2 linked regions of the Oreochromis niloticus genome follow. The protein of the gene in region 2 interacts with the protein of the main gene of each other region in a biochemical or structural test. Links are inferred from orthologs where the notes say so. Each region holds a gene or a part of one and is shown on either strand. Other genes may lie near its edges. The genes, in order: pdgfc and pdgfra.

The links.
Region 1: the proteins of pdgfra (region 2) and pdgfc form a complex in vitro, tested with the Homo sapiens proteins (2 studies listed by BioGRID and IntAct, with this or other methods). The link is inferred for Oreochromis niloticus from reciprocal best matches to the Homo sapiens genes PDGFRA and PDGFC.

What each region holds. Positions count from the first base shown.
Region 1 is NC_031966.2:13,014,779-13,027,193, reverse strand, and holds the start of pdgfc (platelet-derived growth factor C), read right to left. Parts: upstream 5,747-12,415; 5' UTR 5,183-5,746; coding exon 5,005-5,182; intron 1-5,004. UniProt on the Homo sapiens protein: Growth factor that plays an essential role in the regulation of embryonic development, cell proliferation, cell migration, survival and chemotaxis. Potent mitogen and chemoattractant for cells of mesenchymal origin.
Region 2 is NC_031986.2:37,578,157-37,590,836, reverse strand, and holds the start of pdgfra (platelet-derived growth factor receptor alpha), read right to left. Parts: upstream 5,531-12,680; 5' UTR 5,313-5,530; intron 2,893-5,312; 5' UTR 2,875-2,892; coding exon 2,817-2,874; intron 2,738-2,816; coding exon 2,462-2,737; intron 2,091-2,461; coding exon 1,827-2,090; intron 1,477-1,826; coding exon 1,328-1,476; intron 491-1,327; coding exon 331-490; intron 1-330. Other genes in the region: gsx2 (GS homeobox 2), read right to left, coding at 10,115-10,455, 10,691-11,066. UniProt on the Homo sapiens protein: Tyrosine-protein kinase that acts as a cell-surface receptor for PDGFA, PDGFB and PDGFC and plays an essential role in the regulation of embryonic development, cell proliferation, survival and chemotaxis.

The sequences.
Region 1 (12,415 bases), on a different chromosome or scaffold from region 2:
TCCATTTAATGGAAGTGAATCCATTTAATATGCTGAGGGACGGTTGAACTTTATAGCGCCACGATGCATGATGAAAAATGCATGAAAAAGACTAGCCAGTGCAATGCAATTTTAAGCCTTTGGGGTGGAGAACAGGCTGCAGTGATTGGTGGAAATCAAAGCTAAGCTAAAAGGAAAAGGACTATAGTATTTACAGTTAACAGGTTGGGAGAAGCAAATCTTCAAATAAGTCAAATTATGTGTGTAAAACTGACACAAAAACATTATGTGTTTCACTATTTTACTGTTTCTTGATGTGCTGCTGCAAAGAGGCAATGAAAGTAATTAGTTTTTTGGAGAATGAGGTATCAGTCCCCTTGTTCTCCAAAGAGGGGATGCACATCCCTTGAGGGTTACATCAGGAAGGAATCTGGTGTAAAAAAAAAACCTCCCAAATCAAATTTGTGGAGCTACCCACTGTGGTGACCCCTTATGAATAAGGAGCAGTGGAAAGTAGCTTTAAGGTATTAGTCCCCTCCCCCCTCCTGCATTTTGTTTGTATAACGAAATGGTCTTCATTATACCACTGGCTGCCAAAGCATTGTGTGCAGTGAAGAAAAATTCACAAACACTGAGCCAAGAAAAGACAGAATAGGTTTCTATAGAGACTATTTTTCTTCACTAGAGCTTAAACCTATGACCCAGAGCCCCCGGAAAGCCTCTTGAGGTGGTGGGAGAGACGGTGCACTGGCTGCCTGAAATGACAAACAGCAGGCAGGCGGTGGCATGCTTTGCTTGCCAAATACAGCACTCCATGTTCAAATAGTGCTGACAGGAAAAACATAGACACTTTTATCCAGGGTCCCCCACTCTGGAGTGAGATGTTGAGGGGAAAATTTCCTCTTGCCAGAAGACATAGACCTGCCTGTATCCAGTGGTTTCTACTGCTACTGTTGTGGAAAATTCACATAAGTGCATTTTTCTTTCTCTTACTAACACTAAATGGTTACTCAGAAGCTCATGTATTTAGTGACTTCCATATTGGACAGGGAAAAGAAGCCAAACTCGTTTTTATAAATGAAAAAAATCCATCACGTTCACTCAGCAAAAAAACCCTGATAAACCAACCTCTCCTTATAATTGTGTTTTTCATCTCACTATAGTGATCTCCTTGGTGTAACTTCTGCCCTCTTTGCTTCCCACTGAGTTTATTGAACATTCGAGCCATCCATTTTCTTTGATGGTTTTAATTCAGCCAAGCATACCGGCTGCTATTGCACTGCCCACTACAATGATTAACTGCATAGTGCTGCATTCATTCATTCAAGCATATCCATCAAAGCATGGATCCCCCTAAGTGGAAACAAGCTTTCCCAGGGTCAGGAAACATCTAACCTGTATAAAAGAATGAGTTGAAATTCCAAGGCAGGCACGTTTTGTTTGACTGGTTTTCAGAGTCATAGTCGTAATTTCATATTTAAACCCAGAGCTAAGCGCTATGGAAACCACTTAAAATAACATGGTGGATACACGAATGCCAGCTGGTCACGTTTAGTAGAAAAGGCTTGACCCATTACAAATGACTATGTTTGGTCTTGTCAGGGCAGATTTTGTAACAGTGGGCTGAGAACAAAAAAAATAAAAAACAAAAACATAATACTTCTTCTTAACTTTAACAATTACACAATACGCATACTGTACAATATGGTATGAGATGACATAATAGTATCATAATTTGTATGAAATGCTTGTTTCACCTTTAAGAGTGGGACAGTGATTTTATATTAGTTTTTTTTATGTTTTTACTATATTTTCATTGTGTCAGCTGTTTAAAATGATTTCAACTTTAGAGAGAGAAAGATACAAATTTAAAGCTCTGTCATGAACACCTGCTCCACTGAGTACAATTAAAGTTATAAGATGCATTAATCCTTGAATAAAAGTTGACCCAAAGTCAAAAAAGTGCTTTCACTAAGCCAAATAAACTAAACTTAATTTAGCTTCAGTATAAACGTTTCAGCTCTATGATGAAATATTTCTTACAAAAAATGCTTCTTAGGAGTTGCAATTTACTTCTTGCCTTAAGTGATTTTGTACACAGGCTAAGATCTTTGACTCTTTATTAAATTACCAAGTATTTCTCAAGGCAGTTGGTAATCTTTTAAATACTGTGGCTAGGCAAGCCTTAGAAGTACTTTAGCTGTCAATCACTTAAATGAATAGGATTTTGCCAGCAACCAAAATGACTACTCCCACTTTGCTACTCTACAAATATGCTATTAACAGCTGTTCTCAGCTATTGGAGAATGAACACATATTGTACTCTGTTACACCTGAAAAAGTCATGATTCATACGAGGCCACCCAGTATGTTCCCGGTGCAAATGTCTTGTTTGTCTATATCATAATCATAATATACTGAATGTATAATGCTCCTCTGTCTTCCATCTATGTATAAGTGGTACACTGCATATGTTCCCCATAGGCCGTTGACCCTTATAACCCCAGTCCTCCCTCTAATCTCTTAATCTTTAGCGGAACAGCAGCTTCTGTGATCATTGGCAGGTCCAGTGTGGTGCATACCTTCCTCCAGAGGTGCTCGGGGGGGGGGTTTATGTGGGAATATCACAGGTAATCCACATCTCCTACAAATATCTGTTGCTGGATTTTTCTGAAAATATCTGGCTCTGTGCTTATGGGTGGCCTTGGCAAAAAAAACTTGGCCTTCTACGGGTAAGAGAAAGCAAACCACTTAACTCAGAGAAGTGATATAAGAGGTGCCCCTGAGATGACCTGTGTGATTGGGAAGCTGAGATGGAGCTTTAGCTGGGTGTGCAGTGTTGACAACTGGTATCAGGCCATCACTGCATAATGAAACAAGCTTATAGGCTATTAAATAATAAGTCAATCAGTGGTACATCATAGTATACAGCCTGTGAATCATGTTGTTTCATAACAAATCAAAATCCTGTCTCATGTAAAATATGTTTTATGATGATATAAACTCCTGATTTCCTCTTGCAAATGCTTGAGAATGAAAGTAATACTCGCTGGATCAGATTCTCTGCTGTTATTTGCTTCAGTCCAGAAAGGTAGGCTTAAATGTCCTGCACCATGATGGTATGCCTTTCTGGCAAAAACAGGACAACATTGTTGTTTCTGACTTTTTCAGCGTTCAACCCAGTTTTACCTTTTATAAAACAATATGTTTTTAAAAAAAGACAAAATAAATTGAAGACCAAAGGCTGGGGTAGCGTTTGAGCTAGATTGATACATGGACTTTCCCTCAGCGCTATTTCATTTTGAAAACCTTACACTACACGGCTTCTTTGTAGTGACTGGAGAAGTCATTTTTAGCAGCGTTTCCTCTTAATAACCATGAAACCCTATAGTCATGTGGCAAACACATAAAAATGACATACACAACACTGTAACATAATTCTCACCAGTGGACGAAGGAAATGTTGACGTTATTTATCACCCCAAAACACAGAATTTAGATTTCAGAGTTCATTTTGAGAGTTTTTGTCCAAATCATTCATTGTGACAGATGGTTACTCTGCACAGCTCTGGCTCTCAATGGGAGATGGTGCCCTCTGATATCTTATGGAGTCATCAGCAGCCGCTTGCCAAGTTTAATACGACTGGGGACCGTAACTCTCCAGGCAACTACTACTAAACATGCCAGACAGGTCTGGCTTTCTCCCCTCCGTCAGATCGATATCAAATTGTCTCACAGAGCATCTGCAATCAAGCACAGCAGAATAGAGCACTCAGACACTCCAGTCAAAGGTTACAGACGGTCTGGCCAGCTTTGCCCTCAGCCAAAGTGTGACCGCCTTTTTAAAGAGTTCTTTGACAGTTTAACATCTCCCCCACCACACTTCCCCTCCACCTCCTTCATCACTCTCCCTGCCCTCCCTCCCTCCTCTCTGTTGTTTTCCTTTCTCAGTCGTCCTGATTAAACCTGGATATCCCACCAGGAGGCTCTGATTTCCCAACCCTGCCTGTTACTGTAGTGAAGTCAGAGCTGCATGTCCTCACACAAGTCGAGTCAAACCTACTGGTTACTGAAGATCAAGAAATGTATGAAGATTAACCATATCTACAAGATATAGGTACTGTAAGCTATGTGATACATACTCTGCTTCTATGTTATGACTTGTTATGTGCTTCACGTAAGCATAATAATAATCAAACATCACATTTTAGGACTCCTGACTAAAAGGCTCACATGCACAGGATCGGTCAGTTCACACATAAACTATTCTATGGCAAGCTTTTTGGACTTACATTTCTTATACCAGCATGTCTTGGCTTGTTTTGTAATTCTTATAAACCTTCGTCAATCATATGCAGGATATATAAAGTTTGTTATGAAGAGATAATGTCAGCACTGGGAACATAAGGGATCAAGATATAAAACTTAAAATAAGCTGAAAATAATAATCATAATACACAATCTTAAGTACTGAATTAAGATCTGAAAGATCCTTACAACAACAAAGAACAACAAAGACTGTCAAATTCCCCATGATGGCAAAACAATCACTGGAGGCTAATTATTTACTTACTTAGCTAAGCACAGTTATATTCTTGTCATTAGCATGGAAATAAAATTAAACAGTGAAAAAACGGGGGGAAGGATTTCAGAATTAGTGAAGTTCATTGGAGTCATTTCACATGAGTCCCAAATTACATCGCCCTGAGTGACTGCTCCTGAATGAATGGAGCCTTTTTTATGATCACAAGAAAAACTTCTCCCGAGGGGCAAGGAATTTCAGAAGGGTTTCCCCTTTTAAGCATACGGGGTACACTTTAAAGGTAAAGGGTAATACTGCACTTCCTATCCTGGATAATACTGTTTGAACTAAATAAAATGCTTCTATTCATTCAAAAATGCACAAAGATCTACATTTTGAAAGGAATGTCTTTAAGCCCAGTAAGAATGAGCATCTAGGTTGTGTGAGCAATCATTCAAAAGTTTGAACTTTTAAGAATGAACGAGAATGCATCGAAAACTCACCGTTATGCTCCTTTACGCTTGGTAGGGGAAATTTGCTGACATTACTTGATTCAGCTTCTGAGCCATATTGTTGGAGAAGCGATGCAAGAAGGAATATTAATGGAAGGATCATTTGGATGAGTGGTAGCCGGCGATCACAAAGCGCTGTAGACGGGACGGTTTGTATCACCACACACATGCGTCGTTTACAGGACACCAGTGCTGTTTCGGACACATTTGGAGAGGATAAACGCAGAGTAAAATCCACTTAATTTTAAGCATCAGTCCTTCGGAAGAAAGTTCGGGAACAAAATTTTAACTTGAGAAGTTAGAACGACTCCTCTGCAGAGGTTCCGAACCTGCCGCTGCTGCGCAGAGCAAATGCGCACCTGTTGGTTCAATGGGAAGTTTGAGCAAAGTTTACTTTAATGTTGTTATAATCCCGGTATTAGTTATAAAACCACCCTTGTGCACGCATATCATCTACGAGACGAGAACATTAGAAAGACACAGTTGCATTTTGGGTAAAGCGCGCGTCCACGGTGCGTTCTTCACTCCGCCTGATAAATCCCTGCAGATCTTTACGCATTACAGCAAAGGCTCACACACAGAGACAGCGAGAGAGTGAAGCAACTTGATACAGCCTGTACTCAGAAACCGTTCGCAGCACCGAGACGTTTTCTGTTGTCTGGCGCAGTCTAGAGTCATAACTTGGAGTCTGAGATAAAATATCGCTGCGCGCCCGGGGTTGGCTTTTTGGAGACTGGCAACTGACGGCACAACAGGTGCTATACATAAAGTACAACTTCTCAGCGGAGGAAACTCCCAGGATGTTAACTATTCAGTTGCTGCCTGGTTTAACGAGGTGTTTCACTCCCTTACGGGTTCGTTTTATGTTTTGTTTTTGTTTTGTTTGTTTGATGGTTGCACACTTTTTAAATAATTTCTAGCCAAAAGTTTCAGCCTCCCGAGATCACACCGTCTGTTGTTAAGGATAAGGTTTAAATAAGCTGTAGTACTTTTGGAAATATATCTTTAAAACTAAAGAATAACTTAAAACACTATAACACCAGATTAAACGATTAGCCTATATTGTAAATATAAAAATATAAGAGTAGAGATACAAAAAAAACTGTGAAGGAGACATTTTAGGCTATTTGTGTGTTTTTTTTTTTTTTAAAGGGACACATTTCACTTTCTGCTGTGTGTACACGAGTTGTACCCACTGTCTCAGTACTCCTTTATCTGTTTCTCTGCTTATTTTACTGGGCTACAACACCATGGCCTGGTTGCATTTTTATCCCATTAAATCACGGTCCATCCAGTGTATAATATATACAATGCAGTTCACAGTATATATTCACATCAGGAGTCCCATGATTCAGACTAAAACCTTCCATATAACATTCCTAAGTAACATTGTTTAACCACTGAGTAATTGTTTAAAACCTTGATTCACTGAATGAAAGATAAATGCGCCCCAAAAGAAAACTTTTTAATATGCAGTTTTGTGCTCTCCTGGAATGTTTCTGTGGAAGGAAATGTTTAAGGTTCTCAATTTGTCATATCAAAGCAGAGACACCGCTTGAAACAATACTCCCTCCTGTTCCCAATTTCCTTTCTCCCCAGCACAATGTTGTACCTCATCAACTGTGTTTTATGTGGTTCCTCCCATCCTATTGTTGGCAAAATGCAACAGTGTATCCCCTGCTGTATGGTAAGTCTGCTGTAGCACAGACACAACAATCAAAGGGGAGCTGGAGACATATTGAACCCATTGAGCCAGACACATGATGCAATGCTGCAGCAATTTACCCCCAGTCTCACATAGCTTAGAAACTACCAACTCAAAGAGAATATAGAGCAACCATCTCTCCAGCATCAAGGTAAGAAGGGAAGCTTTTGTGGTTTTAATCAAAGTTAATGGCTCAGGAAAGAAGGCGTGGGACATTGATGCAGTCATTTCATACTTGTGTTGCCCCTGTGGAGAGGGGCATATAGAGGTCTTCATGTGCCTGTTGCAAGGGCCAAGGCCCTTTGTGTAAAGGAGGGTATCACATTCCAGCCCTGCGAGCGCCTGCAGCAGATGTCAGCACTTCACATCGTGGAATCCCTCTCTCTTTCACAAAAACACACACACTCATTCACCCCATGAGGTTTTGTCTGTAAAAGCTGGGTATTTTGTCTTGTTGTCCACATTTGATTGCCGCTTCCATGGTGGTCTTGTGAAACGCAAAGTCTTTGATACAAAGAAATATAATAAACAGAGGAAATTAGAAACAAGTTAGGCTATTTGGGTCACGCCAAACATGCAGAGACAAGCCAGCTAGGAGAGCTCTGTGTCCACTGAGCAGAGTGCAAGTGGAAATGTATACAATGGAGAATTCACACTCATCATATACTGCCTAAATCCCCTTAGACTTGCCTACCGTTATGGGATGCATTCTGCCAAGCAAACAAATGCCCTCAAAGATCAGTCATTATTAGAAAACACATCTGTCATAGGGTTTTAAAAAAAACACCTTTGTGGTGAAGAGAAACACAAGAGAATGAAAATGTTAAATTACTTAATTTATACTGTAAAACCAGTTGCTGCAACAGCATGAACTTCTGTTCTATCTGTGTAGTCCAGTAAATCATTTTATTTACACACCCATACACACACAACACATACTTCTATCTCTGTACCTGACCAGCTGTTATATCATCATATTCATTATCTAAAAGGCGCACTGACCTTCACCACGCAGTCACACTTTTATATCAGAGACATTCTGGTGTTTTATGGATACTAAGGTCTCATGTTGATAAGTGAAAAGTTTCAATAATTGCCCCTGGCTGTACTTGGCTTTGAGACCAGAGCCCCCTGGTGGTGCCCCTCAGAGCTACAGGCAATGTTCTGCCCCTTGAACTTCCTGATGATACTGCAAAGGGTGTGGATTTTTTTTTTTTTTTCAAAACAAACTCATTTTGATTCCACCAGGGGAAGCATATTTTATCTGATGATTCAAGATATTTCCAGGTTAAAACAAATCAGATTTGCTTATCATGTTCAGGTGTTCAGGGACACAATGCTGCTCCTTCTAAAGTGTGCTGTAGTAGAAATAAATATGCTTAAGTCATAAACTGATCATCAGTAATATTGTAAACACAGTATATTCATGTGTTAATGCACTGTATAGTCCAGTTATTTTGAATGAGTAATCTTAATTTTACATGGTTAACCTCACAAATCAAAACTGTCACAAGCTGCATTGCATTTTAGGTCATTTCAAGTAAATAACCTTCTTGTCAAAGGTACAGTCTGTTGGAGGTTTTGCAAAAAGTATTGAAGTGCATGACTTCAGTTTGGCTTCAGTTGTGCATAAATTACACAAAAACAAATACACTGCTGTCCAATATAATTGCTTAGCTGAGTTCCCGCCACAGCAAAACCTGAATATAATTCAGTTTAAATCCAATTATTAGTTTAATAATGCTGTCTGACTATATTTGTTATTGCTGCTTGATGCCCTGAAAATGAGAAAGAACGAATGTCTGCAGTGTGGTGGTGCAAGCTGGGATGAACACCTGGCTGGATATCTACCAGATTTTTACTTTGAGAACTCTGTTAATATCACAGGCATTGAAAAACTAAAAAATAATTCTGGTGTTAATCTTGTTGGAACCAACTAAAACAGAATCGCTAAAAATTTAATTTGTAAAATCTTGATTCAGTGTAACTGTTTAGTCATGTTAGACATTTCAGTTTGGAAAGAGCTTTTTGTCCTTCAGGATTTTCCCCCTTACACAATCCTTATTCAGGAAAGTGGTCCAAAAATATTTGAAACGAAACCTCCTTCTTAACAGATTTCTGGCTCTATGCCTCCATCATAATTTTGGATAGTGTTGCACTTACTAAACATCTGCTGACAAGGAAGACTCAGTTTCCATTATAGCAATCTGCTTATTTAATGATCCAAGGATCTCATATTACAATGCCAAAGTTCATCAATACATTATTGAACTGGAATCCAGGACAGTGCAGTGATGAATTTTACTTTTAAATCTGCAAGCCTGCAACCCTGTGCATGTCTCTCCTCACCTATTGCTTTACTGACATATGAGCACACTGCTTGAATGTAAAATAGTTACTGACAAGATCATGTGTGTGTACAGGTCAGACAGAGAAACCATCATGCAGAGAGAAAAGACTTTAATCAATAAACCAGGAACTTGAAGTTGGAAGATACTAATCCTCGTATGTGTCAGCGTACTGCCTTTTGAATGTACTGATGAACATGTTCCAGACCTTCATATAGTTTGAAATATATTTTACTTGTACACAGTAAAATAGAAAATGTCTGTAGCTGTATTTTTGACAGCAGTCACCTTAATACAAACCTCACATGTTCTTCAGAAACATCAAACTGATGTACTGTATTTGCAGTAAATATTGTTTTATCTCCATCCTTCATGATTTACATGAAGTTCTTATTCATTTTCGCTGCTCTTATCTCAGCTCCTATGACATGTACCTGTTCCTCTTCCAAACAATTTATCTCATCATTGAATTAAAGCGCTGTCAGCAAAGCTACTCTCGGTTTAGTTAAAGACTGATCCATCCTTCTGAGATGAAAACAAACCTGTTACTAAGCAGCACATAGTAAATAAATAAACAAATAAAGATGCTTAGTAGTAACACTTCTTTGTCTCCAGATCTGTCAAAAACTTCTTTTTCATTTGAATTACAATGTGACAACACATATAACTCTTCAGGGCTGCAGTGGTAGCAGAAATCTGGTTTTCATGCCAGGTTGTATTATACCACAGTTGACTGTTTCAATCCAGCCTGACATATTTCTGGAATGGCATATGATTGTCCATCACACTCATGGCTCATAGCCAGCTGGCCAGCGAACATTTTTCTAAACAACACAAAAGAATCCTTGCGCTTGAATGGCTGCCTCTTTATTGTAACAGCAGAGCTTTGCCCTGTGACATAAATCATTAATCTCTATGCATATGGTACTGATTAATTTGTGTATGCAAATGGAATGCCTTGTCAATCAAAATCATACCACGGGGATCATCGTTGGGGAGACCGCACAAGTTGTTTGACACAATGATGCATGAGATATGGATCAAAACTGTGGGGAAAATCAGCTCAGTGGATTTTTCTTTTTTTGTACTTAAAGAACAATAAATAAATAAATAAAAAAATCAGCCTTACTGTTCCCTTCCCTCTTAATGTGTGTGTGTTTTTTGTTAGTTAGAAGAACTTTCAAATCTGTGCAGACATGAACGGTAAATAAGAAGTCCTCTTTATCATCCACCAGGTTGTCAGTTGTTTTGTGACCTATTCAATTCAGTTCAATTCAATTTTATTAATATGGCGCCAAATCACAACAACAGAAATCACAACAGTCACCTCAAGGCACTTAATATTGTAAGGTAGACCCTACAATAATACTTACAAAGAGAACCTAACAATCATATGAGCCCCTTATGAGCATGCACTTTGGCAACAGTGGGAAGAAAAAACTACCTTTCAACAGGAAGAAACATCTGGCAGAAACCTATTTTTAAAGACAGATTTCATTGCAATAGTCAACAACCATTTCAATAAATAAAGAATTAAACCTGGAAACTATGACTCAACTATTCATTGTTTTAATCCTTAAGATTTAATAACACCCTGTCATAATACAGTCAGTGTTCAGTTTTTTTCTGCTTTTCATTAAATTCTTAAAAAATGAAAATAAAATCCTTAAAGTGATTGGCAGGTACAGTAACCCGCCTAAACATGCTTTACAGTACTTATGTTATAGTCACACTATGCATTTTTCTCTCACAGACATATACAAAAGGCCGTACTGTCAGACCAGAATGTGCACTGCTTAGCTGAGCCTCTTAGTAACTGCTTCGTTGAGGAAAAAGACATTTTTAGATTAATATTTATTTACAGCTTAACAGAAAAACTTCCAGCACAGAGGAACATCAGTCACAGGTTATGTAAAAAGTCTTATATATGATCCATAAAATCACTTTACATACAATAGCTTTTAGACTGAATATAAAAATTAACGGTATGACCATTTGAAGTGATAATATTCGATGAGTTTGTAGCAATTTGGTGTTCTGCCAATAACTCTGTCACAGTCAATGATTATGATTTAAGATCTGTATTCATTTATATAGCCATTCTCCGTTTCATTTATTTTTTCAGGCATTCAATCTGGATATAAACAGCAATTACTCCACAGCAAAATGAAAAAGACATTTCTTCCTGCCATAAATCTTAAATGTGTTTTAACAAACAGGCTGACAGCACAGATGTAGCAGGTAAATCTAAATTGTTGAATTTGGATATAACAACATTTGAGAACCAGAAGTCCATTAAATAGTTGTTCTGGGGCTTTTAGTAACTTTATAGTGCATCACACTCCCATTAGGAGACACAGTTTAGCCAATAAAATGGCAACTTGAACATCTGTGAGTTCATATATGAACTCACAGATGTTCAAGTTGCCATTTTTCTAACTTCCCTTCCCCATCTTCTAATGGAAACTGTGTGACAATCTAAGACATGTATGAAACCAAAGCATTTTTGTAGTTCAGTGGTGGCTCTAAGTGTAAATACATACAGTACTGTGCAAAAGTCTTGAGCCCTGAACCCATTTTTTTTAATACTTTGCTTCCAAAGAGTCAGACTTGCTTGCAATTTTTAAAGTGGTCTTAAGTAATAGTTCCCCATAGTTTTCAAGGTCTTTAAAGTTTTTTGTGACATTGACCGTCTTATCAGTCATTTTCAGTCTAGTCCTTGTACCTGAGGATTTTCATAAGATTTATTAATGTATGTATTTATTTATTCTGTTCAACCACTTAACACTGACCTATGAAACATTCATGTAAAAAAGAAAATGCACCTCACTTGAAGGATGAACCAGAACCACACTTTGTTACTAACAGCCTATCAAAAACATATACATAGACTCCAAACACACTGCTAGTGCAGAAAAAGCATACCTGCATGGAACCAAATTCCCCAAAAAAGGCAGCCAACATCATAAGTAGTGCTTTGAATGTCCGTCAAGAAGCTTGGAAAGCTATTCCCAAAGACAAATGAAAGAAATTACAAGGGAGCCTTCCTAACAGAGCATAGGTTGTGTTGAAGAATAAAGGTGGTCATACCAAATATTTACTTTCAAGCTTGTTAAATTTGCACAAACTCAGTTTTTGCCTTCTGTGCTGTATTTCTATGTATGATTGCACATGTTTCAATAAATTGCTGCATCAATTTCCCATTTTCCCCCCAAAATATAAAGAGATGAGGGGTGGCTCAAGTTGTTTCGCAGTACAGTACAGTTGATGAAGACACACACACACAGACACACACACGCACAAAAAATGCCCTTTCATTGCACGGGGACACTGAGACCGAAAGTCATAA
Region 2 (12,680 bases):
TGGGAAGAAGGCACATTGACAGGGAGGCTGAAGGTGAAATGAAGACCTGACACACATCTGTTGAACCCATCCTATAAAACACAGTAGCTGATGCTGAAAGCAGGGATGATGCTTTATGGTCGGATAGCAGAAAATGACTTCCACACACTGCTGAAAGCACTTTGTGTGCATATGCGAAACTACTAATTTGACCTGAATGATGATGAGAATGTTAAATATATATGATATAATTGACTTTAAGTTGGCCGTTTATGCAGTTATTCACATTATTACAGCTCTGCTGGAAACTCATTGATGGTATCTAGGAAAGCTTTCTGAGGGATGACTCACCAAAGACGGTCACAGCCACCTTTTTGACTCTGACCTCACCGCTTTTGTCTGTAACAGAGCACTCATAGGTGCCACTGTCCTGTGAGGCGGCTCGTGGGATACTGAGGATGTAGGCGACCCGCTCAGGAAAAGTTTCCTTCATCAAAACTGCATCCTTAGCCTATAGAAACAAAAGAACAGTGTGAGATCACCGGAGAAAAAAAATATTAGCAATATGATATCTGAATGTTGTAATTCACCGAGTTTTCCCTTTTACAGATACAACATCTGTATATCAGAATCTGTATGTCGTGGTGCTGAAGGCTAATGGTTAAAACACTTGCTAGGCCACAGGAGATAAATTAGGATCACAGAGGCTTTTAAAGAGCCTGTAATTGCAGCTGAGACCAAAACCAGGAGTCATAAGTCCTGTGTTCCTACCCTGAACATCTCTGGAAAAGGGCTTAAAGGAATCCCATGCAAAATGTGCCACATAGATTAAGTATGTGAATATAAACAAACATAAGTTGCAAATGAAACTTGCTCTGACCCTTCAGCGTAACACTTTAAAAGCATTAAATGTTTAGCTGGTTTACAAGTGCAGACAACATCTGTACAACATGTCTCAGGGTCAGTGGGGTCAAAGATTTACTATGGTTCCTATTGCCCTTCTTTTAAACTGCTTCTTTCCCTCAAGATAGCTGTGGCAGTTAACTCCATGCAAAAGTGCTGTGTTTGGCTTACATCCTCACAATAAAGACCCAACCTTCAGTTGCTGCTTTCCTAACACATAATTTGTAACCACTAAAGGCTGTCCTCTGAGCTATATTCCACTTGCCACTGCTAGCTTTGGGTCCAAAACCATTATTTTCTTATTTAAGGCTCAGCACTGCTGGCTTGGAAATGACACTGGGTAGAAGGACACACTGCAAGATGAAGTGGACAAGTGGCTGAGGCTGTATAGGAGACTAAATTTAATTAAAATAGGAAAACACAGAGGGAAATGACTGTATCTTGCCTGTTTTTTAGGATGGAGCCACTGCTGTTGAAAGTCCAGGCCAGAAGGAACGATGCATGTGATGTTGAAAGGCTGCCCTGCTCGCAACGTCTCTTCACTGGCTATTACCTCCATGTCAGAATCGTCAAAATCCTTCCCCTCCATAGGGTCTAAAGAGGGACCAGCGAGAGCATTTATCAGCAACACAATCTCTCACATCACGTGTGGCAGCCTGATTACCGTGACTTGATTTATCGCAGAGCTGTGGTTATACACCAACACACACACAAACACACAGAGAGTGCAAACATGCATGTGAAGTCATCCCACTTCTGTAATAATGACATAATGTCATGCAGTGAGATCACCCTGTAGCCTTCTCTTCATAAACAGGGGTGTTTCCAGCTGTTCAGTTATTCTTTTTTTTATCTTTATCCTGCCACTTACCATCTCTATAGCTCCTATTTCTTTTTTAATAAAGAGAGTATATCATACTACAACTACACTTGTCTTGACTTACCATTAGATATTACAGTGTAAATAGAACTTCGGACTATCTGGCCATTCAGAGTGGTTTCACACTGGTACTGCCCGGGAGTTAGGTTGTTTGAGAAGAACCCTTCTTTGCTGTTGTATAAGGCATGCAAAGCCTCTCCACTGGGGACTTTTCTCAGGATGACGTAGGAGTCCCAGTGAGACACACGACATGGGATGTTGAATCCATAATTGTCCACGGAGACAACCAGGTCTGTGGGTAACTCGGGGACAAATGGAGCATGTGGATCTAGGTACAAAAAGAGGATTTTTATAATTTGCTTCATGACTTTGTTCATTTTGCTAATGCTCTGTTAAAGTGAGGAACAATTTAACCTAATATCCTTTAAATGTCTCTAAAGCTGTATTAACAAATTCACTCTTTTGGCCTATTTCAACTTTGATAGATTCGGTGAAGAAACGACAGGAAAGCGGGGACAGAGAGAGAAAGGGAAGACATGCGGCAAAGGGCCACGGGTCCCGTGGCGGTCGCTCACAGCCTATGGCATGTGGCGCCCGCTGAACGCGAAAAACCGACACCCCCACAAATTCACTCTTGTGCTCTAACCCGCCCGAGCAAACGTTATATGGTATATCATAGCATATCACCAACATATTCACCTGGGACAAAAATATAAATTTCTGCTTCATCAGCTTCCAGTTCTTCATCCGGGTCTTCATATTTGCACGTGTAATAACCTGTGTTTTCTACCGTTGCGTTGTATATGAAGAGTGTTGAAGTGTAATACCCCGGATAAACCAGGGCGTTTTTCTGCAGCGGTTCCTCCCAAACCACGTGTGTTTTAGCGGTGCAGCTTATATTGAAGAGGGAATTAGGCTGTAGGACAAACTCCTCCTGGTCAGACAAGATGGTTGGTGGAAGCAGTCCAGAGGTAACTAAGAGACAGTTTGGTAAACATCAGAGAAACAGCTGGGAAACTATCAAAAGGATTTACCTGCAGACTGTTTTACTTACCTGAAACCAAAACCACCAAACTGCCCCCAAAGAGGACAAACGTCTTCAGCCAATCCATGACTATGGATGCTTTGACCTGTAAAGACAAGCGGTTATTTACTAAAGACGAGGACACTTTATCCGATCTTACATGATTTATCCAATTTGAAAGCATTAATGTTTAATAAATGGATCAGTGGGGTTTTCACTTTTGATTTTTGACTCTTAGTTCCTTTAAGCCCAACTTTAAGTAATTATATCGAGCATGCGCTTGCTATGCCTGTGGTGCCACACATTGCTTTAGTGCTGAAACTGTACAGATATGAAATTTATTGCAGATTTGCATCCATTATTTTATTAAGAGGAGAATTACGATTCTCAAATTGTGACTCGCAATTGTGCCTTTAACCCCTTTAATGTGAACCATGAAAGAACTGCCAGAAATCTTTAATTTTTTGATAATGGAGTGTTTGTTAGACAAAAATACATATATAAAAATATATCAAATTTTAATCTGATTATATATGATATTTAATTTGTATCACATTTGCTACACAAGCCATATTTTTACAATTTAGTCGTTAAAAAATTGTCATGCAATTCATATCATTTTTGAGGGTAAAAAAAAGTCACGCTGATGATGTAGAAGTCTCAAAAACTCACAAAAACACATGCATTAAATATGATACGCTGGGTTTTAAAGGGTTAATAACTCCGTGGTACTTTGAATAGGAGCCAGCGGTTGCTGTTCCCAATCGATAGAGGGCGACACAGTCCGCCTTATAAGTGCATCGAAGCTAATCCCCCTCCTTGCTTACTCGCTCTCTTAAAGCTTATCTTTTCGCTTTATAGATGCACATTTAGTTTTTGCATGGAATGTAAGCACAAATTGGTTGCACATTGTTCTGTTTCTCCCCTTTTTGTTACAGTTTTAAATGTACCCATTAAAAAAAACACTGTTATCAACTGGATAATAAGGTCTCATACCTTGTCAAATTTAGCCCATTATTCCGAACAATTCTTTACAAAGATCGTGTTATGTCTGGCTTTTTCAGGTAGCTCTGCAACTATGATCCCCATATTCTTTGAAGCTGATGGGCGATCAGGGATCTTTTTACTTTTTCTTTTTTTATCAGGGGCAACATAATTTGAGTGGCTTACTCAAAGAAAACTGTTAAAGATTAAGCTCCCCTTCAATTAACTCTCTTTAAGTAGTTTTCTTTCTTGTTATATCTCAAAATAGGTTTTACATGTGACGGGGAGGTCTAGATTCCATTTTCTGTAACTTCCCTGGTCCCAAACAATACAGCTGCTGGTCCCTTTGCTGTTTCCTGTGGCTGCCCGCTCTGGCTCAGTCGAAAAGAACTAAATTATCCATGGGTAACCTGGGTTTGTTTAGCTCTATAATTAGCGCGCCCAGTGTGCACAAAAGTACATATTCGCGTGGGAATCAGTTGACAAAATGCCTAATCCGTTTGGCATGTTTGTGCACTCGCGTTGTCTCAAACAATTTCGAGAGGGGATTTTTCAATTGCATTGGCTTGGCAAGAATTCTCTAGCCACTGCGCGTAAATCTGACTGAGCCTAAAGTGGCAGTAAGACTTCGTGCACGTCCCGATCCACTTTTATTTCCACTGCTCTCCCAGCAGGAGACTCAACAAATGCGCCACAGAGCAAACGCATCCTCCGCTGGGCTTGGACACAGTTGAGCAACAGCTGATATTGGCTTATCTCAACTCTCACTGGGTCAGTTATGTACCATAATTTTCCATTAAAAAAAACTAAGAAACCGTCGAATACAGTTAAAATGTTTTAAATTCTTGTGAGTATTCACTCTTGAAATTCTGACCACAAGCGGTATTCCTCTGTTAAACCCGTTGGTGACATGACCCTAAAAGTTCTTCCTTTCTTCTTTTTCTCCTCTTGGATCAGTTCAGCTGCCGCTCGAAATCTCCAGTCAGCCTTATTGAAGTGCACCCAGTGCAGATTTTCCATTTTAATTCCTCACATTCCAGGGACAGACTAGAAAACAATGTGATGTACAATTTCCAATGTGTTTCTCATTAAATGCCAAGCAGCATCCCACAATGGAGCCTTCAGTCTTCGAATTGACACCTCCAGCTGTGAGCCTAAAACCGAGCGCTTTTATCCAGCAGAGTCAGCATGATCTCTCCGCTTGGCGTCCAGGGGTGAGACCATATGGTGCAAGGGGGAGAGGAAATCAAACCCCAAAATCCTTTTGGATTGTTTAATGCAAAGCCTGCATACAAATTGCAGGGTCGAAGGGCTCCCTGCGATCCATATTAAGTGAATGCAACTTTTAGATCAACTTTTCTACTAATATGATACGAAATGATATGGTGCATTAATTGGCTAAACTAATTAGGAATACAATTAAACTCCATCTAATCTTACAGAACAGTAATCTATTATAGATTTCCCACTCTTTAATTATATCAAAACGAGACAACTTTTCAAAAGACTAAGAAAAATAGTTTCAATCGACCCCTTAATTACCTTATACTAATCCCTGCTTTATATTCCTTTCGTGTAAGTATATCCACAATGAATTGGTCACTCCAAACGCCGCAGCATAAAGGGTCCTTTGCAGCGGTTATAATCCTCAGAGGTCCTGCTCTGTGAGAGCATATGTGCCACCCTCTGTCCGCATCCACGACTGCCTTCACTACTGCGCTCCAGCTACATCGACCTGTAACTGATTCGATGTTACAGTCCACCCTCCTCCCACCCGAAAAAAAGTAATCATCTGTCTCAAAGTAAATAACTCCCAGGAAATGACCCCCCCTCCCCTTTCTCTTCTTTCGAGCTCCGAGACCCTTTTCAAAGTAAGAGTCGGGCGTATATGCCGGCTGAAATCTGGGCACAACATAGCATTTTCACTGGACTTTAGTCGGATAGGAAAACTTCTGAAAGTAAAACTCTTCATGAGATATTTTTGGGGAACTTATGTTGTATGTGATTATGTTTAGCTTTGATGGATATTGCATTTTGTGACTAATTTTATTAGTGATTCGTGTTATGAAGGGTTTTCCTCAAATTAAAACTTACTTATTTCTATGTTTTCTTGCAGGATCCCCGTACCCTACAGTGAATACAGTTCTCAGTCGGAAACCACGAACTGCGGCTCTCGGGAACGCATAGAGGGCGCTCCAACACCACCATATCACCACCTACCTTTTAGTTTTTGCTTCTTCTCTCTCTCTCTCTCTCGCTCTCTCGCTCTCTCTCTCTCTGACTCGAGCCTTCTCGATGAGGGACACACACACACACACACACACACACACACACGCACACACACTGGCACACGTGAGTCAGCTGTTTACCGAGTGCTCATCCAAGGCTATTATTTTTTCACCGTATCTCCCTTCACCCCGGGCCTCTCCTGGTGGGCTCACAAAGAAGAATGGGTCCCTGTGAATCACCTATCTTTTGGCAAAGCAGAGGGGTATCAGACCGTTGTCTTTGCATGGAGCAGGGCCCCGGGGCCGATGTTTCACCCCCCACCCCCAACTCCATACGGCCCCTTGGCGCAATTACTTCCACATGTTAGGGAAAAGAACTGTGTCCTTGTTCTCCAAACAAAGGATCTCAACTTCGGAAGGCAGAGCTTAGCTCAGACCTGTTTTGCCTCGTTTTGGGGGGATAAAACTGCTCAGTTTTCAACAGTTCTAACTTCCGTAAAACGTTACAGGTAAACTGAAAAAAGTTTTATTTACTTATTTCTTCGTGTGAATAAATTCAGCACAAAATGAAGCAAATACCAGGCTTCGCTAATAGATTTCTTAAGAAAAAATCATCACAGTTAATTTTCACAACAAATAACAAGCACAGCAAACGCCTAAATATTCCAGATATAGGCCTATACTGCATATAACTCCAGAGTTCCTGCATGGTGACTGTCTTGCCACCAACTCTCCACCAGGGGGCTTTGACAAAAAATATAGCGGTATTTAATTATATGTTAACGGCAACGTTCAGTTGCTACATAACAAATAAACACATAAACATAAATAATATATATAAATAAATAAAAGACTGAGAAACTAAAATCATTACACCCCTCCATTTGATGTGTGCTTAAACATCCATTTTAAGCAAGAAACAACTTCTTGCTAGAGCAAGCTCAATGTACAACTGACTTTAACAAACATGTATATACAACATAACATGTCTCATAGACATGATAAGTACTTAAAGTGAGTACTTAAAGTACTGGATGGACGATGGCCTTTGGAGGGCGGTCCTTGCGGGAGCTGTCCAGGGTGCTGAACTGAGCAATTACTAGAGTTGTCCGTAACCTATTCAAATCCTCTCCTTTACCTTTTTAGCTCTAACCTCTCTATAAGGCCAGGCATTAAGTGGATTTTTATAGATCAATAGAAAACGAAAACAGTGACTGCATGAAACACAACATGCTAAACATTCACCAGAACCCCGCATTATATTACGATGCATATTAAAAACAATTCCAAAAACCTCCAAACAGTGTAAACAAGGAAAAATCGGAGTCATTTTGGATCAACAACGCAGCATACAAAAGTAATATATGTAGTTAAGTTCATTTAAGCTGATATTAATGCAAATATACGAGGTCTCCATAGCGCTCCATGTGTGAATGTACCTGACCCTGTTTATACAAAGATGGATGTAACCACTTGACTTTTACTTTTGAAAGGTCAACGTAATAATTAATTATCACCTCCTTCTCTTACACACACACATGCGCGCGCACACACATTGTATATCAAACACACATAGAGAGATCACCCCCCCCCCACACACACACACACATACACACACAGAGAAGGAAATTGGCCACCATATACATATATTAGTTAATTACTATAGCCTAAATAGTACAAATTTCCACTGTAGCTTGGTCCGAAAAAGTAACCCAGTATCATAATTTAAGATTCATGCGTTTAAGTGTAAAAACGTTCAGCTGTTTAACGTGAGATCAGAGCGTGTGTCCCGGAACAAACCCGTTGATATGTGATTTAAATGAATGGAATAGATATATGTGTGGACGATGAATGCTACACTGCTGACAAATAAATAAAGTGGACCTCTCCTGGAGAAAAAAAAAAAAGACAACACCCCCCTCGGGTACTTCAGCTTCTTCCAGCCCATCTCTCCGCATGAGACAGCAGCTGCACCCGGCTCAAAAGCGCTCTTATTAATTGTCTTTTGTCATGCGTAATTGCTGTATTTTCAATGGTGGCCGATGCAGGACGACTTTGGAGTGCTCTCGTTTTTCTGTGCATTAGTTGGTATAGTCCCTTTACTGCAGAATGTATGCTCCATAGTCTCAGCCTGGCATTTTTTCAAATAGCTGTGTAACCTCCGTGTGATCGGAAAAGTTCGTCATTGTGACAGTTATAGAAGAGATAGCCGTTCGACCTGGAAAAAAGGAGCTTCAGCCCATCATTATATAGACCTTACAGTTTGAGGTCACGTCCTGTGGGGCTGAAAAGGGGGAGAGTCTTTGTCGAAACTGTGGTTTATTCTATTGTTAATAGCTTTAAATGCTGCACTGGTCTTTCACACCTGCAAGGGAACTCTAATTCGATTAATAGGAACTTCAATATATATTCATTAGATGGCTTTCCCCCAATAATATATGATCACCAGCGGGATGTGAATGGGGACCATTTATTCCTGCTCTGAATGGGCCTGCGTGGGACCAAAACTTCACCTGCTTCCCCTCTCAATTAGGAATGTATCCCAAACTCTGACAGAAACGAGTTAAATTAGGCGTCAGCTAATTTCCAGTGGCCCCTCCTACGTAATCCCTCCTCAGAGCCTTTCCATTTGAGCGTGCCCCCTTTAATTCACCATAAGTTGAAAGGTTCAAATAGTGCCTAATGAAACAGTGACTAAATCGTTCTCTGTCGCTCGGAGGAACCCTGTAGCTGTCTCTCAAAGCTCTCTCAGCACACAGCCGTCGGGGGTCCTGGGCTAAATGCGAGTCCCAAGGCAGGACAATCTAACCTGTCAAAGCCTTTGCCCACTTCTATATATACTTGTTCTGTGGTTTCAAGCAATAGCAGCATAATCAACCAACGTGGGACCGAAAACGCAATTAAACTCGCTTTGGACAACCAAAATCTTTTCAAAAGCGAACATTAATGGACTATTGGCTGCTCCCCGGGGGCGTTATCGGGTACCCTTTTGTGGTCACATCTAAGGAGAAATTACACTTTCATAAAGCTCACTTCATCCATTTTGAATTAGATAGCTAGATCTTGTAAATTGAGCTCTGCTGCATAATGTTCCTAAATAAAATACGCACAGTGGACATTGAGGTGTAACAGAATAAGACCACTAGTTAAGAATGACAGCTTAATAATGATAGCTGTCGTGACAGAAACACCTTAATTCGGTGAAATGCTAAAAGATAACTGAACTCACGGTTTAATGAGCCAGTTTGCGATACGTGTCTGCTTTTATTCTGAGGCTAGGAAAGTACAAAGTCTTTGTAATACAATAAAACAACTTTATCTTTTTTTTAAGGTGGTGTTTTAATTTTTTTTAACATGTAATTGTGTTTAAATTATATTATATGAGGGGGCCTTTTTTCTTCATAAGATTACAACGAATGTACGTTTGAAACCTTGTAATAATTCACTTATAATACTGAATATTTACATATTTTTAATGGAAAAGTGAAAAAAAAATCATTTCTGCGAGCAGTTTTTAAATCAACTCGACTCTCAAAGACTCAAAAATTCGTTTTTTTCACTTTGCATTCATTATCAGTGTTACAGATATTAGAGATTCAGGTGAGCATGTGCATAATCAATCATAGTAAGTCAATAGTGACAAATTATTAGGTCAACTCGTCATGTTTATTACAATAAATACAGATATACAAAGTTTACAAATTGTTACATACAGGTTTCGGGTTTACACGTCAGACCTTTACTATTTCTTGGGGTTTTCTGTGCTACACGTCACTGACTGTAAAAGGATTTCCGGCAATAACTGAAATCATTTACTGGGGATAATTAACAAGGTAGTGTAGGTGAGAACCTCAAGGGGATCCACATAACGTCAGTCACATAGTTGGTCATGTTCCCAAATATTTCACGAACACCTATCCACACTGGTTTTAAACATTAAACATTTGTTTTGAACATTATAAAGAACATGAAGCGAAGAACAATTAATATTTTCAGAACTTCTGCTCAGGCTTCATGCAGCAGATATTTGGCTCAGGGGCTGGGTGATGCCGTGATCCATAAATGCAGCAGGGCAGAGGACGCGCCAGCAGTGGAACTTGTTGAGTCGAGTTGCTCTCAGATGGGAGACACCTCTTTCTCTTCCGAGACTGAGGCCGGAGATAGAGACTCCTCGTCTTCTGACCTTGAATAGTCTGTGTGGCTGGTTGTGCACTTGCAACCACTGTGCGCGCTTCTTTGGGTGGCTTTACCCTCTTTCTTGTGCTTCACTCTGCGGTTCTGAAACCAGATTTTCACCTGTTTCTCTGACAGGTTTAAATATGTAGCGATTTCGATTCTCCTGAGTCTAGAAAGATACATGTTCGTGGAAAACTCCCTTTCAAGTTCCAGGAGTTGCGTGCTTGTAAAAGCCGTGCGCATCCTCTTGCCATTCTGTATGTGGTTATTCTCGGAGGCACCTGTTAGAGGAAAAAAACATTTTTTGAGTCATGTTTTAGTTCTGTACTTCCTCTGTGAATGTGCGGTCATTCCAAGACAGGCGAAATGTCGCGCGTAAATCGTCGTGCGTAAAAACAAAGTGCATACCATTGATCTTACTGCTACAAAGTACAACGCGAGCTCTAATAAGTACAGAAATATGTGCCGGACAGTAGTTCTAGTCATGAGCCGAGACAGTAGAAAACACGTGCTTACCAATAGAGAGACAATGGTATCTCCTGGGATCTGTGACGCTGAAGGTGGGCGTGCAGACAGGTGTATGTCCAGGGTGAGCGAGTGCAGGAGACTGCTGATGTGCTATTCTCTGACAATACTGTGGCTCTGCTCCTGGAAACTGACTCTTCAGCATGGGAATGCCGCTGCGGGAAGAGTGGATATGGGATGTGACGCACAGTGGACAGACACAGAAAGTCCCATTTTTCCTGGAGGGGCACACCGGAGCGGTGACAGTCATTACGCTCGGAGAGTGCATGCTGATTGGAATAAGGAAGTCTTGTCCCGGATGCTCAGTTGGTCCAGGTCGCACCGTATCCTTGATTATTAAAGAATCAACATAAAATGACCTCGACATGGCTGCGTCGCTGATAAGTGATCGCTCCGTGAGCAGGATGATTGCTGCTTCTCATCTGAGCCCCTCGGGATTTCCAAAGGTGCTTATGTTTGATGGTCAAACAAAAGAGAGCCCGAGGAGGGTTGGCCCTGCAGCGTCACCCACGTGCGCACCCGGCTCTTGGGGTTTATACTGTCAGTGACCTAGACCACGTGATATCTCATATGGGCCTCCAATCACAGCTTCAAGATTTACTTTTTTATGCAGAATTGACAAAAGTCTTGACTGGTAACATAAAATAATCAGGAATTTTTATTTATTTATTTATTCCTTTTCAGAACTGTGTAGAAAGTTCTACAAAGAAATTTTTCAGCAAATTCACACTGACTGAAGTATTACTTTGTAATATCTTTGAAACAAAACCTAAAAAAAATATATATATTGCAAACATTTAAAATATGCTTGTGAGATTTGAAAATTATAAACTTGTCACTACTGAACAGCTGTTTGGAAACACCTGCAACTATATCAATAAATTGTTTAGTGTCCACAACACTTCAAATTTCTGACAAAACGTGCATTACATACGCCATTCACTCTTCTTTTCTTTTTCTTTCTTTTTTTTCAAATTTGACCTGCAGTCAGTTATTGGTTTATTCACATTCTTTTAAATTACTGAGTAATAAGTCTGACATACAAAGGAACGCTATATAGCCAAGGCTAAGGATTGATAGTTCGCAAATGAGATTTAAGGAATTGTCCACGCGACCATAAGCAATAATTGCTTTGCAGACTAATCGTGCTTTGAATCCGGTTGGTCCAGGTTTCACTTCTAGCAATTAAAGAATTATGAACTCATGGCGAGTCTGGACTGGGGTTATTTGACGGCGATTAGGATTCAATTAGAAAGTGTTTATAATGGCCAGTCTGTGCGGGGGTAAACAGGCAGCTATTTCAGAAATGCGTTAATCCCTCATCTTGTGACAATAATTAGCGAGTTTGATCCCCAGGCGGGTCACCGGTAGGTTTAGCTTCTGCTTTCATCTGCCAAGTAACGCCTCGAACCTTCATATTTGAGCCGTCAGCGGGGTTAAGGTGCAGACGGTACAGGTACAACACCGCAGATGTTAAGTTGTCCGCTGTCTGTAGCAAAACAAATAAGGCCAAAAAGAAAATAGAATAGAAATAGCCTCATGTGGATTCCAACTTTTCAAAAGTTATTTATTTGTCACCATTTTTTTCTTGAAAAACCTGCTGTATGAAATTCATCATCACGGAGCAAACACACATGTTTACAACAAACAAGGCAACTGAAGCACTTAGTCAACTGTGACTTTCGATGCACTCTTTGAGAGAATTACAAAGTCTTTAAAATCCAACCATAATAAAGATAAAAACAGACATGTCAGTCACACAGACAGTAATTGCTCTAATAAAGTGAATTCAGCGTTTGACAAGGAAGACGCGCAGTTGTTATGGTACAGATAACAGTCCTGAACGAGAGAGAGACGGAGAGAGAGAGAACGGGAGAGAGAAAGTAAACCAAGCGGAATGATGCGTGGCGCACGCCCTCGCCTCACCATGCGAGGTCTAATATTATTTTTCCATAATTTTGCACGATAAAATTTCATTGTC